2 linked regions of the Nothobranchius furzeri genome follow. The protein of the gene in region 2 interacts with the protein of the main gene of each other region in a pairwise test. Links are inferred from orthologs where the notes say so. Each region holds a gene or a part of one and is shown on either strand. Other genes may lie near its edges.

What was found. The genes of interacting proteins can lie anywhere in the genome.
Region 1: the proteins of numbl (region 2) and spsb3b interact in binary tests that used the Homo sapiens proteins (3 or more experiments, as listed by UniProt). The two-hybrid records come from large-scale screens. The link is inferred for Nothobranchius furzeri from reciprocal best matches to the Homo sapiens genes NUMBL and SPSB3.

Annotation. Positions count from the first base shown.
Region 1 is NC_091756.1:32,878,185-32,882,111, forward strand, and holds the start of spsb3b (SPRY domain-containing SOCS box protein 3), read right to left. Parts: upstream 2,801-3,927; 5' UTR 2,716-2,800; intron 1,032-2,715; 5' UTR 968-1,031; coding exon 800-967; intron 365-799; coding exon 181-364; intron 1-180. Other genes in the region: cytosolic Fe-S cluster assembly factor nubp2, read left to right, coding at 3,315-3,330, 3,590-3,705.
Region 2 is NC_091753.1:64,892,621-64,896,803, forward strand, and holds the start of numbl (numb-like protein), read right to left. Parts: upstream 2,801-4,183; 5' UTR 2,685-2,800; coding exon 2,644-2,684; intron 1-2,643. UniProt on the Homo sapiens protein: Plays a role in the process of neurogenesis. Required throughout embryonic neurogenesis to maintain neural progenitor cells, also called radial glial cells (RGCs), by allowing their daughter cells to choose progenitor over neuronal cell fate.

The DNA.
Region 1 (3,927 bases), on a different chromosome or scaffold from region 2:
AGACTTGGTGGAGTTTTTCTAATACATATGAAAACTATATATTTAACATTAAAAGACAAACCCGTTTTTTGTGCAGAAAGAAACATGACTGTTATGTAGAGCAGACGTCCACAAAGCATCACAAGCTTCCACAGTATGGTCAGACTGTGAATGTCTGTTCTTTCACAAAGCTGTCCTCACCCTGATCCTCCTCCCCACAGGAGCAGTCACTGTCGACCCTGTAGCCTCGCCCGACCTCGTCCTGCGGCACACAGTGGCAGAACGACTCCCCCGTCACCGGAGCTGTGCACGGTAGAGCCTCCAGCTTGGGTGTGGTGTGACATTTGTCCACCTCCACCTCCACTTCCAAGTCCAAGTCACTAAACTGTTTCACACAAAAAGCACATTTTAAGTCCTCAGATGTAGCCGTGCTTGATCCTTAGTAGCGAGGAGAGGGACTGGTTCTAGAATGTGAGGTTTGTTTTGAACATTTTTGTAATCCAACCAACAGCGGGGAGGCTTTTGTGGACAGCTTCTGCCAGAGATTGTACCCGGTAGAGAGGCTGAGATGAGAAAACCATCATTTAAATTCCTAAACGTGTGCGTCATGTGCTAACCTCTGATTAATTTGTGTTTTCTCCAAAAGGTTTCTACTTGTGTGTGTGTGTGTGTGATTTCCTCTGTTTACTTGTGGAGCACATCTATGATTTCACCTGTTCTAGCGACAAAACACTAGATTTAATCACTTCTTATCATCCAGAGGAACCAATTTCTTGCTCATCTAAGTGATATTTGTGATTTTCTGCACCTCTAGTCTCACCTGTGTCTCTGTCTGGCTCTGACACTCTTCGCCGTCAGTGGATTGGACATCTGTCTCCTGTCTCAGGTCACTCCAGGCCACGTGTCGAGCTCTGCTGTTTCTGCCTCTTCTCAGCATGGCAGCTCTACGGACAGCCGGCACAAGACTTGGTGACCAGCTGTCAAACATTCTGGAGGCTGTGCACTTCTTAAGGTCAGCGGTGATCTAGATCAGTGGTTCCCAAACATTTCCACTTCAGACCCAGAAAATAGCAGTTGTGAGCCCAGATATTTTTGATTTCACGACACAAAAATGCTTAAAAAGTCAAATAATTCAGGGCATAATAAAAACTGCTTCAGCTCATGTTCACTTACATCCATTTATGAGACGTTAGTGGAGTTTTTGTAACAATTATGCTAGAAATATAGCTTCAGTAATCGTTTTTCAGTTTTATTTTGACTTCTCGAAATCACCTCGAGACTGCCTGTATAGCTCTTGGTGACCCACAGTAGGGTCCTGACCCCAACTTTGGGAACCACTGAAAGATCCTAGAAAACTGTGAAATAAATCAAATTAGAATGTTTTTAGGTAGCTTTGGCTTTTAAAATCTTTTTGTACTTTTCAGTTGTGTCCGCCCACATTTTTCTTTATATTTCAAAATCCTGTCAGGCAGCTCAAAATGGGTCGGTTTGAAAATCTGTTAGTTTTGGTGCCTGGAAAGAGTCATGCTGAAGCTGCATGACATGCCAGTCAACATGAACGATCTGTGTGTCCTGGATCTCCTGCCATCTGCTCCCATATAGCACAGCTAGCAACAGGAAGTCCTTCCACACACGCTAAAACCTTTAAATCCAGTGCTTTCTACTGGAAGTCACTTGACCCAACATATAAGTCAGAAATCACAGAAAAGACCAATCTTATTCAACAAACTGCCACATTTTACACTAGAGGTGTAACAGCTGGGTTATTTAGTGAAAAGAAAAAACAGGAATGGCATCATTTTTAGACGTCTGAGTCTAATATCAATTTTTAAAAATCTTAGCTAATTTACTAAATGCAGAGTTCTGTTTATCTGATAACCAACCTCTATGTTGCATAGATTTAACAGATGTAATAGATTCATTTTAAAACGCTGAACTAGGGATGGACAATATATCGACATCAACAAATCGGTATTGGTTCGATAAATAAAACCGGGCCGATATTAACAACCGATAGTTTTTCCATCTTGTCTCCATTTGTTTGCCTGTTTCAGAGGGTGATGGGGTGACGTGTAATTGTTTAGTCGTGTGAACAGTGATTGTAATCATCTCAGAAGTGTAAATGTGTGTGGTGTGTGTACATAATAATGTAAATTCAGCTTTAATAATTTTCATTTTATACAAAATTGCTGATTTTAGAAGCGTTGGTGTCAGTATATCGGTTATCGGCCATAACAAGGATATTAATATCGGATATTGGTATCGGCCCTAAAATGTCATATCGGCGCATACACTGACCCCATTCTGTCCCTCGACCTGATGGAAATATTTCTGTTAATTCCAGTCCTGAACACAGCAGCTGGTTGCTGCTTCACAAACAGGTGCAGTGGATGGCTGCCCATTAATTCAGATTAGTCAGTCTAGAGCAAGTCTCATTTTAATTGAGCCTTACCCCATATCTTCTGAATGCATCAGCTGGAGGTTTGAGTATGGACAGAACACTGGTGAGTCAGTGTGCTCAAGGATATAGGAAATAAATTTAATAAACTCAAAGGCAGCTTTATTATAACAACTAAGACACAAACATTTAAGATGTTGTAGTCACTTTTAACTGTCCCGCTGCAGAATCGTACCTTCTAGTCACAACTTCACAGCTGCAGCGAGTTCTGCAAAAGTTCTGCTTCATCCTAAAACACTTTAAAGCACATGGTAACATTTGTGAGTCTATGCTCTTACCTTAAACTGGTCTTCTTATGCAGTCTAGCAGTAGCTCATTCGCCTTTCTGTGCGTCTGTGTGACAGCTGCAGTGAGCACCCTGCCCCACTTCCACACAGGATAGACGTAAACACAACCTTTGTGTTCCCATTGGATGAAACCTTTGTGGGGGAGGAGTTTGTGTACATCTTATTATTGCTTACGTCTGCTGCTCAATGACGCATCATGTGAGATGTGCTGACCTGAACATATTTTAACAACAAAACAACACTTTATACACAACAAAACGTGATATAAAATAATTTCTAAACGTATAATTTGTGTTATCCTTTGATGAATCAGCTGCAAAAGAATTTCAAATAAAATCGTGCTGAAAACTAAGAAAAAGTATCAGTTGGTGTGTAATCTACGGAAGCGTATTACTCTTCTTCCAACCATCGAATCTTAAATATTTTACAGTATGAGACGCACCTGAATCTATCATTTTCAAAACTAGTTTCTTATTGGTTGCATTTTTTTAAAGGCGGGGCCAAGATGCAGCATGAGCTGTGTGATTGGTGCGTGACTACGTACAGGAAGTGTTCTGTTACCGAACTCGTGTTAGCCCTAAATCTAAAATATGGAACAGAATAATGGTAGGTGGAGGATGTTTATCAAATAGAAACAAAATAAGTCCGGATTTCTTCTGAAATTTGTCAATTCTTACATTATCTGTTTAATTTTATGCCTAAAAAAGTCGAAGTATCTTATTAGCTTCAGCTAACTAGAGCTCCTTAAGATTAACTTGCTCTTAATTATCAAAGTGAAATGAAAGAGTTTATTGTTGTTATTATTTCGTCTCAGTTCATTGTTTCTTGTCATTGTGACGTCTTGGTTTTCTTTGCCTCACGTCAGACGGGAACTTGTCCCAGGTTCGTCATGTTGTTCTGGTGTTATCAGGGAAGGGAGGCGTGGGGAAGAGCACCATCACCACAGAGTTAGCCCTGGCTCTCAGACATGCTGACAAAAAGGTGAGCATATATCACATCTGTTTTTTTTTTTTTTTAACTCTGGTGACTCAGAGATGTCCTCATCTCATGGTTAGAGCAGCAAGTCATACCTTTCAAACATAAGTGTTCATGTCACCACCAATAACTTGTTTTCACCAATGCATTTCTCTCCAGGGGTGTCCCACAAATCTCCATACTTGGTCCTGTTCTTTTTCCACGGATTTTATCACTTTTACGTTTAAA
Region 2 (4,183 bases):
TGGTGACAGGTGAGGTTTACATCCCATGCACGAACGGCCGGAGGAGGCTCTGAGCCGCACTTTGGAACCCCCACATTTACCATGTCTGCGGCGTTTCCTTGGTAGCCACGCCGGGCGGGGAGAGCGAAGCAGCAGAGCTGGGACCGTCGTAAACAGCGGGGCGAAGGACCGTCTTAGATCCGAACAGCGGTGATAGGCAAATCCAAGTTTATGCTGAAGTTCAAGAAGAAGGAGCCGATCATCTCGAAAATTTGAGCTACTATCCACCAAAGAGCAACACAGGAAAATAAAAAGCAAAAACAACAATCGGGAGAGCAGACGGCAGGCCGTGGACGGCGCCATCTTCCCTTTTTCTCAGGACGCTCACCCTCACGAGGGATGAGCAAGAACCAAGTGTTTAAGTGCTCACATACTTGGATGGCCACTATTTTCTCCAGGACTTTGGATAAAAATGGAAGGTTAGATATTGGGTCATCTGGAACCAGAGAAGACTTCTTAAGTAAAGGTTTGATTACAGCAACCTTAAAATCCTGTGGTACGTATCCATTTACTAAGGATAGATTGATTATATCTAGAATGGGGGCAGTAAACAAAAGAAATGCATCTTTAAATAATTTGGTTGGGATTGGATCCAAAATGCAAGTGGAAAGTTTAGATGAAGCTAATATTTTTGATAACTCTGAAAGCTCAATTGGATCAAAACGGTTCAAGCACAGATGAGGTTCTACAGTTACCTCTGATGCTGCCTCACTTACTGAGGAAGAAGAAATCGCATTAGGGAGGATGCTAAAGATTTTGTTTCTAATAGAATTAACTTTACTTGTAAAAATTCCCATGAAGTCATTGCTGCTGAGGGCTAAGGGAATAGATGGTTCAGAGCTATGATTCTGTGTAAGTTTAGCAACTGTACTGAAAAGAAATTTAGGATTATGCTTATTCTCCTCAATTAACGCTGAGAAATAAGCAGTTCTAGTTTGTCAAAGCTTATTTTTATAAAGCACAAGACTATTTTTCCAGGATAGGTAGGCCTCCTCATGGTGCGTAGAGCGCCATGTTCTCTCCAATTTTCTAGAGTTTTGTTTTAAAGCTTGTAAATGAGAAATAAACCAGAGAGCCAACTTCCTGTCCCTAATTACCTTCTTTTTTTTAAAGGGGCAACATCATCTAATGCCACACGTAAAGAGGAATTAAAATGATGAACTAAGGCATCAATTTGTGAGGGGCTAGAAATGAAAATATTGCCCTCTGCTACGTTCCTCTGAGATGCTGAGGACAGTAAAGATGGAACAGTTGATTTAAAAGATGCAACTGCGTTGTCAGATAGAGACCGCCTATAGTGAAATTTACTTTCATGTCTCGAGAACTCAGTTATAAAACCTCAAAGGTTATCAGAAAGTGGTCCGAGAGGACTGGATTATGTGGAAAGATCGTTATTTCCTCACACTCTATGCCATAAGTCAGCACAAGGTCTAATGTATGATGGCAGGAGTGGGTGGAGCTATGTATTCTTTGGGTAAAACCAATTGAGTCTAAGATATTACTAAAGGCTACAATGAGGCTATCATTTTCAATGTCCACATGAATATTAAAATCCCCCACTATAATGGCCTTATCAGTATTTAGCACCAAATCAGATAAAAAAAATCAGAGATTTGATCCAAAAACTCAGAGTAAGGGCCTGGTGGACGATATAAAACTACAAACAAGAGTGGTTTTACAGTTTTGCAATCTGGATTAAGAAAACTAAGAATAAGATGTTCAAAAGAACTGTAGCTATTAATTGGTAAGGGACTGATTAATAAGTCTGAATGAAAAATGGTTGCTAATCCTCCTCCTCGCCCTGTACTTCGAGCAATATGATGATTTAAATAATTAAAAGGAGTCAACTCGTTTAAACTAACTAATTATGTTCTGGGGTGTTTTAACGGTTTGTGTTTGAAGCTAAGAATCTTAAAACCAACAATTCTTTATAGATTCAAATATATCAAGTATGTTGAAACCAGGCCAACATCTCTGCAGCAGAGCCTGTCACATGGGTGCCAAAAAATTTGACTGACACCTTGTAACAAGCGCATACACACACACACACACACACACACACACACACACACACACACACGCACGCAGACACACACACACACACACACACACAGCTGGTATCCAGCGCTGAACAAAAAAGGGGAAATAATCAGTTTAGCAGCATTAATCTGCCCCATATGGACATGGGGTCTGGTGCATCTGCTAAGCCTATTAACTGTTATGAGCCCTGTCGATACAGGCTAAATCTATTATCAATTTGGCAGAGAGTGAAAACGTCACCAAGGCGTACATCTCAATAAAAATAGCAACAAACCAAAAGGAAAGGGGAAAAAACACTACTATCATTACTACAAAAGTCTCAGATGTCTTGTTAGCCTTGACAGAAATTGGACACACACCCCCACCCCACCCCGGACTGGATTAGGGTCATTGTTACAGGCAGAAGAAAAAACGAGGCTCAGGAAAGTAGTCCAAAGAGCTGATCGCTACGGCAACAACTGACCCACTTAGAAACAGGTGCACATCCGTGCAAACACAAACACATGTCTGTGATTCTTCTACAACAGGCATATGCCTCCCCTCCCCACTCTCAGCCAGGCTCACCTGAGTTCGATGGCCTCCCCCATCTCGTTCCAAGAGCTCATGGAACCGCCGCAGATGAGAGACGATGCAGAGATGACAGAAAAACGGTGAGCTCTGCCTCAGAGTAACAGCCACGACAATAACAGCACAGAGACAGGATGGAGAGGGGAGAGTGAGCATGTGATGGTACTGGGAGGGAGTGAAGAGCTGGAGAGAGAGTGAGTGAGAGAGAGAGAGAGAGAGAAAGAGAGAGAGAGAGAGAGAGAGAGAGAGAGAGAGAGAGAGAGAGAGAGAGAGAGAGAGAGAGAGAGAGAGAGAGAGAGAACCACACCTCTTCCTAGGGGATTAACTTGGAAATAGGAGTCCTGATACATTCACAAACACTCATTCAGAGATGCACCCAAACACAGAGAACAGCCCACGGGCTGGCGCACGTAACAGTCTGGTTAACACAAACAGATACATGCATGAGCGCTCACAGCTGCTCTAAATACAGACAAATCACTGATCCAGATCCTGGGAGTGGGCGGACAAAACCAGAGTCAGAGTGGACGAGGAAAGAAGAGGGTGGTTAAAGAATTCATGACAGATGCTGACATCCCATTTCTTTATCTGCCATGAATGTACTGGTCGGGAGAGCACTGGGAGAGGGGACGAGGACATGGCTGGGACCTGGGGAACGGGGTCAAAGATGAGACATTTGGATGTTCGGTGATGGAGGACGAGTCCCAGATGTGCAGCAGAGTTCCTAAAAGATGAAGTAGTGCCACTTTCTCTCCAGGACCACAGCTGAGCTATCAGAGGACAGCAGGAGCGCTCGTGAGGTTTGGCTGACTAATCCAGAGAAACAGGAATCGCATCCATACGTCAGCAATGCTAGTGAAAGGTTAAGACTGTGGGTCAGGTGGTCGACTAGGCTGATTGTTACAGAAGTTACGGAGTGATGAATACGGGTGTCTCCAGACATTTAGCGTGGCTGTCACTAGTCACCTGGGCTGTACCAATCACATGACCATTTGGTAGACACATTCGGCATGAGTGCATGAAGAACAGCATGGACCTGTTTGATCACCGCTCCCATCTAGAAGCATGCACACATGTTAGCAACCTTTAGCCCACAGCGTCAGATGATCAGCTGCTTCACAATAACACGCAGACCCAACATCTGATGGGTGGAGCCACGTGTTGCACATACAGACCAAGAGGTGAACCCCTCGTCCGAGCTCTTGTGGTTCTTTGCTTCATAATAGTAGTACATTCGTCCTGGTTTCAAAAGCTACATTTCTCCTCTGAAAGTCCTGCAATTTGATTACAATCGTCGTTTTAATTCGGGACGAGTTTGTTTTGAGCATAATGAGGAAGTAGTGAAGCGGCTCTCATGTGATCGCTTTAGACCAATGCGGTGCATGCATTTGGTAAACAAAGATCCAACACGGCGGTGTACTCGGGAGCCGGAAAATAGCAGCAGTCATGATTTAAATACTTTAAAAACGTATAAATTTGTGTGGAAAAAAGATTTTCATGGAGACCAGGAGTCGCCACACACACAGAGTAACATTAG